3 linked regions of the Danio rerio genome follow. The main gene of each other region encodes a partner of the protein of the gene in region 2 in a complex. Links are inferred from orthologs where the notes say so. Each region holds a gene or a part of one and is shown on either strand. Other genes may lie near its edges.

The links.
Region 1: gar1 (region 2) and nhp2 share a complex: the UniProt entries of both Homo sapiens proteins name them as parts of the H/ACA small nucleolar ribonucleoprotein (H/ACA snoRNP) complex. The link is inferred for Danio rerio from reciprocal best matches to the Homo sapiens genes GAR1 and NHP2.
Region 3: gar1 (region 2) and wrap53 share a complex: the UniProt entries of both Homo sapiens proteins name them as parts of the telomerase holoenzyme complex. The link is inferred for Danio rerio from reciprocal best matches to the Homo sapiens genes GAR1 and WRAP53.

What each region holds. Positions count from the first base shown.
Region 1 is NC_133196.1:33,053,563-33,057,260, forward strand, and holds the start of nhp2 (H/ACA ribonucleoprotein complex subunit 2-like protein), read right to left. Parts: upstream 2,890-3,698; 5' UTR 2,757-2,889; coding exon 2,606-2,756; intron 2,425-2,605; coding exon 2,355-2,424; intron 1-2,354. UniProt on the Homo sapiens protein: Required for ribosome biogenesis and telomere maintenance. Part of the H/ACA small nucleolar ribonucleoprotein (H/ACA snoRNP) complex, which catalyzes pseudouridylation of rRNA.
Region 2 is NC_133189.1:48,215,147-48,218,903, forward strand, and holds the start of gar1 (H/ACA ribonucleoprotein complex subunit 1), read right to left. Parts: upstream 2,878-3,757; 5' UTR 2,786-2,877; intron 1,868-2,785; 5' UTR 1,858-1,867; coding exon 1,662-1,857; intron 1,584-1,661; coding exon 1,429-1,583; intron 481-1,428; coding exon 421-480; intron 1-420. UniProt on the Homo sapiens protein: Required for ribosome biogenesis and telomere maintenance. Part of the H/ACA small nucleolar ribonucleoprotein (H/ACA snoRNP) complex, which catalyzes pseudouridylation of rRNA.
Region 3 is NC_133182.1:20,898,629-20,902,287, reverse strand, and holds part of wrap53 (telomerase Cajal body protein 1), read right to left. Parts: intron 1,493-3,659; coding exon 1,269-1,492; intron 1-1,268. UniProt on the Homo sapiens protein: RNA chaperone that plays a key role in telomere maintenance and RNA localization to Cajal bodies. Specifically recognizes and binds the Cajal body box (CAB box) present in both small Cajal body RNAs (scaRNAs) and telomerase RNA template component (TERC).

The sequences.
Region 1 (3,698 bases), on a different chromosome or scaffold from region 2:
TTTATATGGCAATATATATCACAGAAACACAAAATATGGTAATGTCAGATTTTTTCAATATCGCGCAGCCCTAATTCAAGTATACAGATATTTGTTAAACTACTTTCTATGATTCTTCCAAAACTTTGTGGGTTTTTCTGGTTTTCCAAAACTTTTCCAGGCCTGGAAAATGCCATGTCAAAATTCTATGACTTTTCAGGGTTTCTATGACTGTATGAACCCTGGTTTGTTATGTAGAATATCGAAAAAATATATAGCTTAAACGGGCTAATAATTTTGTCATTAAAATGGTGTTTGAAAAATTAAAAACTGCTTTTATTCTAGCCGAAATAAAACAAATAAGACTTTCTCTAGAAGAAATAACATTATCAGACATACTGTGAAAATTTTCTACTCTGTTAAACATCATTTAGACAGGATAATAAATAAATAAATAAATAAATAAATATCTAATATATAATATAAGGGGCGGCTAATAACTCTGACTTGATTTTCAGATTTCAGGCCTGCTTGATCTCAAGTCATAACTCATAATAACTTTTTGTCTGACTGAAGCCATATTGTGTCTGATCAGCAAACTTTGATCAATGACAAAAAAATCAAAACAATTTGAATGTTACCATACAAGTTCCATGTTAACACACTTACCCATTTTAATACATAAAACTTGAGAAAATTTTTCAAATATAAAAATTCACAAAGACGAAAGCTATTATTAAATTTCATAGTTGAAAATATTTTTAAATACATAATATAATTAAATTTATAAGTGCATATAATCTATATAAATGGTAACAATTTCTTAATTAAACGATATTACATTTTACAAACAAAATACTGAAGTAATTTCTTCATGCAGAAATGATTCATGTGTAGACTATCATAACTGTTAAAAGAGGGAATTTAACTATAACTCAATGCTAAAACAGCTACTATAACATTGTTTATCAATATGTTGACCTTTTTGGATTCTCAGAAGCTATAGAAATGAAAACATGTCAAACAGAAAATACATTGGGACTAGGCATGGGATGACAACTGTTTTCAAGGTTTACCGCGGTTTGGAAAAAGTCCAGGTTTTAAAACATTCAAAATTTTCATGTATTTCATTCCTAAGGTATGTGTAAGATTTTTTATTTACGCTTTTTTAGGCCAACATCTTCAGCAGAGTAGATATCCAAATATGTCGTTTTAAATTGTAGAGAAATTTGTGTTTTTGAAGGCAGCAGAAGAACGTGTTTTTTTTTTTTTAGACATTTAAAAGAAAATATTTTAGAGTTGTGATCACAAAACTGTGATATTTCTATCTAAGGCAGTGGTTCTCAAACGTTTTTCATCAAGTACCACCTCGGAAAAAAATTGTCTTTGCAAGTACCACCATAATGAGCAGTTTTGAAATACAGTAGCGTATTAGGTCTAGTAAAGCAGCTTAAGCTCTGTACAGTTTAAAAAAAGAAATAACTCCTGGTTTGTTAGCACCTGGAAAAGTTGCCTAGACCTCATAAATATAGGCTTCATGTCATCATATTCGTATATAAATCATTTTTGATAATTTCTTTAAATATATGTAGCATGTACATATTACATATTTGATTCATCCGCGTACCACTAGAAGAAGGCCTGCGTACCACTAGTGGTACACGTACCACAGTTTGAGAACCACTGATCTAAGGTTATCATAGCATCAGAATTCTAAACCACCCATGCCTAATTGGGACCATTGTTATTGTTTACGTCCCTCAAAATGGTCTAAAGTTTCAACAGATTCAAGGATATTTTTTAAATAATTTAAATAAAATATACTGCTAGTTTTCTAAAACTAATATAGCTTTCATATACTATAACCATAAGTTAAAGATATATTTACACTATAAAGGGATAAATCACAGGGAAAAAAAATAATAACAGACTCTTTATTCTCCCTCAAGTTTATTCCTTCTGTTGAACACAAAAGATATTTTGTAACAAGCTGAAAACATTGACTACCATAGTAAGAAAAACAAATGCAATGGAAGTCAAAATATATTTGTTCAACCGAAAAAATTAAGTTAAACTGGTTTGGAACAAAATAAAAAGTGAGTAAATTATGAAAATATAAAATAACTTTTGGTTGAACCATCCCTTTAAGATGATCATACTGCGTACAAACTGAACCAAATACAACATCATGAGCTCAAATAGTTTTGTGAATTTTGTGCATTTCTTCGTGTTAAATTAAAAATTAGTATTATTCTTTGTCTAGTAGTGTAGTCAATTTGAAACTAGAATGAACTTTTTAAAAGGCTAATATGGGTTAAACCCTGGACTGATCAACCAATGGGCTTAACAAATACCTGAAAAAACCTTAATCTTACCCAGTCTCTCCTTTGTTGATAAACTTCTGTACTTCTTTGACTCCTCGTCGGATCTGTTTAACTTTAGCCGCTAAGAAAATATAAATATAATAATGAATAACACTCATAACCAATGAACAAATGACTGCAACCACGTGTCTGCAACATATTAAACCTACAGACAGCGATATTTAGTATACTTTCATTCACACTCGCAGGCAATAACGTTACTCTTTATGAATGTTAAAAACAAGTTCTGAACACGTGTTTACCTTTCTTGACGCATTTGTAGAGCTTTTTGCTAAGTTTTCGCGATGCTAGCGGGTTTGCGATTGGGTTAATATTAGCTATCAACTCTTGATATGATTTTTCCGTCCCTCCGGTTTCTTCTTCCCCGGCTTTCTCCTTCTTTACCTTTGTCATCTTTTGTTAAAATGTACACAAATATACTTTAGCGATTAACTTAAGGCTGATAGTGTTGCAGGCACAGGATGCAAGGCACAACACACGTGCGGTGACTATAAACGTATTTCCGGTGTTTTTCGAACACTGCAGTATTTCCTCCATAGAGTCGAATAATACATAGATGCCGCTCTCGACGGTGAAGTCTAGATACAGCTGCGGATCATTTTTGTATAACAATAATATTTTATTAGTAATATATTTTTAATATATTGTATAACACTGTATAACAATAATATTTTTACAGTATTGTGACGGTTGAGTTTAGGGGCAGACGTTAATGAAATACCATTTATTTATTTATAATAAATAAGTGCGGCAAAACGGCCGTTTTTACATCACTGTATAAGCTGGCTTTAGGGTTGGGGCAGACGCTAATAAAATACAATAAATAGGAAACTTAATAAACAATATAAATGATTACTGTTAATTTCCGGCCGCAACCGTATCTGAGCTAGAAACCGCTCCAGACTCCGTCCGCCAACGGTAAATTTAGCTTGCACTTACCACTTCGATTTTAATTTATAAAGAAACTGGACATTTAGAGGGGGAAATGTAGGTATTTTATAATGGCATCTTAATTCATGGTTTTATCAGCAGTATTGTGGGGAAATCATTTTACAATCTAAAGTCATTTGGAAAAATTAGTTAAACGTGTTTACTTTTCAAGAATGTATATGTTATTGTGAAAGATTACTTTTTATTATACACATCAACTAATGCATTCGTGTTGCTAAAAATACATTAAAATCTATTGTAGATATATTCACACTTGCTTGTTTTTACAGTCAACTTCTCGAATATTTTGCTCGTTACATGGCAGAATCTAAAAGAGGCATCTATGTATCTACATCTAGAATGTCGTGTTTTTGAGTTGTTTTAAAAACACTGACCCCTAGTGCA
Region 2 (3,757 bases):
TCAATATCACAATATATATTGTAGAAAAATGATATTGTAATGGCAGTTTTTTTTTTTCAATATCGTGCAGCCCTGGTATTATTGCATTAAATGCTGATATGAACAATTATGCTTTTGAAATGTTACAACTTTAATAACACTAATAAACTTGTAATAAATTAGCTTACGGTTATAGATTTTCACGTTTCATTTTTTTACTGATGTTACTTGTTTTAGTGTTATTTACATTTTCATTCCAAATTGAATAAAGATAAAAAAATGAGTGTAGCTTGTGACAATAATTATTATACATTTCAAATATATATTTTTTTAATTTACAAAATCAAATAAGGCAAAATAAAACTTCCTACATTTTACAAAAAAGGGGGTTCAAACATTTAAAAAACAGAGAACAAAGAAAATTCAAAAGGCTGAACTTACCTTCTGTAACTTTTTGAATGAGGATGCCTTCATATTATCAGAAAGTTTGACTGAAAAATACTGAAGAAATGATTAAGGACTATATACATAAGAAAGAAGATTGTCTGCAAGTCGTTTTCAGCACAGTTCTGATCATTTTGAACATTTAGAGGTCTTAGAAACACATGCATCTATAAATCAGTGCTTCCACTCTTTCATGGACACCAGATCCAAGCACATTTAAAGCACCGTAAATTTTCAAATCAAGGTTTTTTTTTTTTTTCAAATCCAGTCATCATTCATTTTTTTAGAACTCACCATTAATGTTTAAATCAAATTTGTAATTCATACCCAAGCATATGTAGTGCCACTTAAAGTAATTACTATACCTTACATTTCACTTACACTTAGTATTTACAATATTTACATAAGTATTGCGAGTAATAAATCATGTTCGAGGAACTTTAATAAAATTTGTTGAATTTGATACTGGTAATATTCAAATTAAGTTTCTCAAATATTGATCAAATGTGCATTAATTGTAATTACACAAAATTTAAATACACGATTAAAGAAGATTTTTTTTTTAAATTGTTTTTTTAGGGGTTTTTTTAGGGGCTCGAGACGGGAATCGAACTCGGGTCGATGCAAGCACTTCGGTGCTATGTGATGCACTAACCACTAGGCTATTGGCGCCGACTTTTATTCTGTTTTTGACAGCAGCACAGTACAAAAGTTGAAATAACACTATAAACAAATTTGGTTTGAAATTTTACTTAAGCACCGTCAAGGACCTTTGTTTGTTTTTAAGTACTTTCCAGACACTGACTCCATATGTCTGATACTCAAGTACTTTCAAGAAGCATGGAAACCCTGATAAGCAGAGCAATTCCAAGTGGATTCTTGCAGCACCTAAATATGCTACGATAGCCTTTACAGAAACGATTATAAAATAACTTTTCACTCCACATTACTATGAAGTCATCTGACAGCACTGCCAACATCATATGCAAAATAATTTAAGGATACAAAATCACGGAGCTGCCCAAAGATCTCGTCCACCTTTCCAATCTGTTCTTTGTTCTCCAGATATACAGGAGCATTGAAGTATGGGACTTTGTTCTCTTCCGTCACACATTTACAGACAATCTCATCCTCACAGGGGTGCATGAACTCCCCCAGTGCTGAAAAACACAATGAGCAGAAATATAAAATCACATCACATAAAGACATCAGAAAGACAAAATAGAAAGAAACCTTACCGACAACATATTCAGGTGGGCCATAGTCTTGGTTCCTGTTAAATCCACCTCTGCCTCCTCGACCCCCACCAAATCCGCCTCCACGACCACCTCCAAATCCACCTCCACGACCACCTCCAAATCCGCCTCCACGACCACCACCACCACCTCTGTTAAAACCTCCTCCTCGACCACCGCCGCCACCACGGAAAGACATGACGGAGATCCTGTAAAATACAATCAATCAAATCTCAGGATATATAGGGCAATAATGTTAAAGACAAATAATGTTTGTTTTTAAGTACTTTCCAGGCACTGACTCCATATGTCTGATACTCAAGTACTTTCAAGAAGCATGGAAACCCTGATAAGCAGAGCAATTCCAAATGGATTCTTGCAGCACCTAAACATCCTACGATAGCCTTTACAGAAATTACTATAAAATAACTTTTCACTCCACATTACTATGAAGTCATCATATTGTGGGTTTTTGAAAATGACCTTCCATGCAGTGTGTAACGCAGCTCTAAGTGAAGTGAAATATCCAGCTAATGTTTTAATCTGAAAGTGCACTGTGTTGTGCGAATGTGCGAATATAAAATCAAGTTTACCTCAATTTATTAGCTTGTAAACAACCTTTATTACTCCCATAATATGTATTTATCCTACTACTGTAGTCAATGGTTAAGGTTTCCAACATTTTTCAAAATATCTTCTTTTGTGTTTAACAGAGGGGGAAAAGGCCAACAGGCTTGGAAGATGTAAAGGGCGAATAAATGACATAATTTTCAGTTTTGGGTGAACTATCCTCTTAAAAGTAATCTCAGACTAAAAGCAAACTAATGCTAAAAGCAGATCAAACGTTCTTCAGTTTTGATGCAAAGGTTATTGCGAATGCTGATAATATATTAATACATGCAAGTAATTATTAGAATATCTATGTATTATCATAATCACAAACTCTCGTAAACAGAATAAAGCTCGTGGTACTAGTTATCGTACATGCTGAACCAGGCATGGAGGTTAGCTTTTAGCATGTCTAATACTTCCGAGAGTAAAACAAGGGGCGCATAATACCAAAAGATATGCTACGTACACACAATTTACTATTAAAATCAAAGAGAAAGTACAAATTTTTTATTTACCTTTAAAGTTGTGTGGTTGGAATATGAATGATCAACACGCTGTTGACTCTGAACCACACGTGCCTGCCTGCAGTGCACAGCCTGCCGTAAATGAACACCGGTTCGCAGACTGTCGTAAACACGCCAACACGGAAGTAGTAACCATAGCTGCGTCCCAAATCGCATACTTATGCACTATTCTACGCCATTTTGTAGTATAAATAGTGTAAGTAGTGTGTTCACATTGAAAACTCTCAAAATAATAAGTGCACTTTAATTACCCGGATGCTGCACTCATTCAGCCGCTAAAATGAAGTGTGTAATGATGAACACTTCACGCACTCAACGACCGCAGGTTTGCTTACGTAGCGGAAGGGGCGGAGCTATCGGACGCGCATGTTGGATAACTTTATTTATTTTGGATGGTGAAAGCAAAATTCTCCTACGAGAGTGATTATAGCGCCTCCCGATGGTGAATGCGGCAATACTCACGGCAGGTAATATTTGATAATTCGGTTGTTTATTTCACTGATTTGGCGACCGTCAAATGTCATCAGGGAAACGGTTTGAATTTCCGCTTAGTAAAAAAACATTAGTGTGCCATTTGGGACAACACTACATACATATACTATTCTGTTGAGTGTGTAAGTGCATAAGTGCATAGTGCATGAGTGCATAGTGTATAGTGTGCCATTTGGGACGCAGCTTGTGTTTGGGCATTAGAAGCGTACGTGTCAAGCGAAAGATCATAGAAATGCTAATATTTAGACTTAAGATTTAGCATTAACAGGTAGAACATTACTTTCTAAAGCAGATGGATTATTTATCCCGCTAATATAAAAAGTTCTCAACTTTACACTCAAAATGTAAAAATTATTTTGTTAGTTTAATTGGTGTCCAACACTGTGTGGGTTATTTGTAACACCCTGTTACTTGTTTAATTTGCTGGATTTTTTTTATGTAACCCTTTTTGTATCAGTAATACTGTATATT
Region 3 (3,659 bases), on a different chromosome or scaffold from region 2:
GATGCATTTCCATTAGGCATATTTTCATTGCAGTTCCTTTTTGTGCAATTTTAATGGTAGTGGAAATGCAGCTATAAACAACCTATGAAGTTGGGAAAAGTCTTACAGGTGCAGTATGTAAGTTTGAGACCCAGTGGTTGAACTAGGTATTGCATTCCTGGATCAAAACAAATGCAAGTACAGGTTGCCAGATTAAGAACCAACAGGAGCGAGCCTGACAATTGAGCTAAAGGCTGATTTAAATTATATTCTTTATATAAGTAACGGGTCGACGCGGTGGCGCAGTGGGTAGCATGTTTGCCTCACAGCAAGAAGGTCGCTGGTTCGAGCCTCGGCTGGGTCAGTAAGCGTTTCGGTGTGGAGTTTGCATGTTCTCCACGTGTTCGTGTGGGTTTCCTCCAGATGCTCCGGTTTCCCCCACAAGTCCAAAATCATGTGGTACAGGTGAATTGGATGGGCTAGGTCTGGGATGGGCAAACTTGATCCTCGAGGGCCGGTGTCCCTGCAGAGTTTTGTTCCAACACTAGTCAAAAACACCTGAACATGCCAATCAGTGTCTTCAAGATCACTAGAAATCTATAAGCAGGTGTGTTTGATTAGAGTTGGAGTTAAACTGTGCAGGACACCGGCCCTGCAGGACCGAGTTTGCCCATCCCTGGGCTAGGTTGTCATAGTGTATGTGTGTGAATGAGAGTGTGTGGGTGTTTCCCAGCGATAGGTTGCAGCTGGAAGAGCATCTACTGCGCAAACACATATGCTGTAAAAGTTGGTGGTTCGGTTCACTCCACTGTGGCAATCCCTGAATAACAAAGGGACTATGAATGAATGAATGAAAATAACACAAACAAGAAAAAGAAAAATGTATATAATATAAAATAATATAATAAATTATATTTACGTTCAACCCTTTTTCAACCTGAACAAAAGAACGTTTGTGTCACACAAGCAGAGCAATAATTACAATAGCAGGGTAGAAGCAACATCAATGAGTCAGTCACTACAAACATGCTAAGATAATTATATCCACAGCCACTGTCTAGATCAGAGCCAAGCATGCCATGTTAGCTTAATCAAGCCAAATATGTGTTTCCCGCCATGAATGTGTTTGGAATGAATCCACCCAAACAAACAAAAAGAAATTAAATGGGATTACAGGCATTCCACACCCATGCAAGCCAGCCAGTCGTCTTAATGACCCTGATTAAGACCCGTTTGAAGAGTGAGAGTGATTGATGTAGTGGTTATTCCTCTATGAGAGGGTCCCTCACCCATGGTGGGCCGCTGCTCGCAGTCTCTGCCAGGACGGTCGGTGTGGAAGACCCTGACGATTTTATCAAAGCCGCAGTAGAGCTGAGAGCCGTCAGGAGAGAAACACAGTGAATGAGCCGCTGTCAGCTCATCCAGGTGGTTGTAGGGTCGAAAAGATGCACGAAGGTCCCCATAGAAGGCGTCCCATATGTGGACCGGGTTGTCTCGGCTGCTGCTGGCAATGCTAAAGGGGAAACAAGAAGAAAGAGGAAAAATTAAATACAGTGAATGTTGCTGCAAAGACTAAAACCAGTTTTCTCCCAACAAAATCTATTGTTTTGGGGAAAACAAGAGATTGCAGTATCAGACTTGACAGTCAGTCTGGCTTCCCTTCAAAAGGCAGCACAAAAGACCCATTTACAATTGAGAATCTAACAAACGAAGAGCTACAGCAGCTTGAAATCAAAGATGACAAATATTGCTAGACAAAAAATATGAGGCTTATGTGAACATGTTCTTCCAAAAGTTTAGAAAATTCCTAGGAAAATGGATCTGGACAAAATTAGTATATATGCATACATATTTTATGATGACTTTACATTAATGGAAAACTTTTTTAAATATAATTTATAATAGTAAAGTGTTCCCTACACATATTTTGCCCAGGTTCAACTTAAAAATCCCATGATCCGCACTCATTGAGTTATTGCATTATATTTATTATTTCACATTCTTCTGGAAAATAACTATAAACATTTCAGCTCAAAGCCTTTCTCAGTGTGTGAAAAATTTTATTGACATTTGGTGAAAAGTTGGTTTACATTAATTAATTAATTGATTTAGCAAGTGCTATTTATTAAAAAAACAGTTGATTTACTCTTCATTTTAAAAAGAATGCATTAAGCAAATCAAAATTCTCATCAAAAAAAGAGAAATAAACAAAAAATGCATTATAATATCATATACAAACTACAACAGATAGGGAGTAAGGGAAAGTAAAAAAGTGGGATAAAGTAAAGTGGTCAGAGGAGATGGGTTATTTTATTTTTTGTTGATTCTACCATGATGTGGTAGGTAAAGCCACAGTCAGATAATTAATTTTTTTTGATGTAGAGTGTCGTAGTAATTCATAAAAAAGACAAATGGGCGTTGTGAAACAAGATTAAATTGTTTCTTCTTGTGTATTATTGCATAATCCACAACAACCGATGCCATGTCTGCGACGCCTCACGACACCATCGCAGAAAGTTTAGCATGTTTAATTTTTTCCCCATTCTACTCGACAAGTTCCATCACATGGGTGACAATAGGAGCACATCATTTCTCAGTTATCCGCGGGTGCTGCCGTTAATACAGGCTAGATTTTATTTTATTTAACAAACCAGTTCGTGTTTTGGGGCTGAAGCATATCAGACTTGTTTGAAGTACTTCACCTCAGATGTTATTTTTTATCTATAGTTAACTGACCAATAAAAAATACATTAAAATTAAGATACAAATTATACCACGAAAAATATACTAATTTTGTTTTGTTTTTTTGAGCCTGTCCATTACTCAGCTGTGCAGGTGGATGATTTGTTCCGCTCTGTGCAAAATAAGGATTTAAATAATCCTCCACGGTAATTGTTGCATCACAAACTTCTGTTATAAATTTGCTTATTTCTTTATTAGTCATTATTTTGACTTAAGTTAAAGTTTAAGTCTTAAATTTGTTTTCTGTCTCACTTGCTGCAAGTTCAGGCGAGGGAGTGTTTTATAGGCAACCCATAGCTGGAAAATATAGCTTACATTTAGATTTAAAGGAAAAAATCTTAATATTAAAAAGGAAATATATGTTTGATCCTATCAATGTCATAAATTCTCTTAAATAATATAGTCTAGTTGTCAGCAAGCATCAGTGCTTATTAAGATTGAAATAAGATTAAAAAAAAACATTAAAATTAAGATAAGAAACATTGTTATAGCAACACTCGTGAACGCTTTGGGAAATAACGCTCGTCGAAAACATTATGGCATGAGGGAACGTGAAGGAATGTGTAGTGATTTTATCAAGACAAAAACTGCATCATCTTGCATAGTGACTTTCGTAACCAACAATAAAAATCATGTGATTTGACCGGGGCTTAACATTATTTCACTAGCGAGAAAAGATGATTGAAAATATTGAGGAAATTTATATTGTGCCTTTTTGATTAACTAACTAAATACATAATCCAAATAAAATAAATTAGTAAAGTAAATAGCACAACAGCAATAAATAAAACAAAATATACACTGCACATTTATACAATCAAAAGGAGAAAAGCTTCTTTTTTGCACATCATTTTTCTCTTTTCAGAATGTTTTCTCAATCAGTGTAAGAAAGGACTGCCAAGTGTTCATATACAAATTAAAGCGCTCTTAGACTCTAA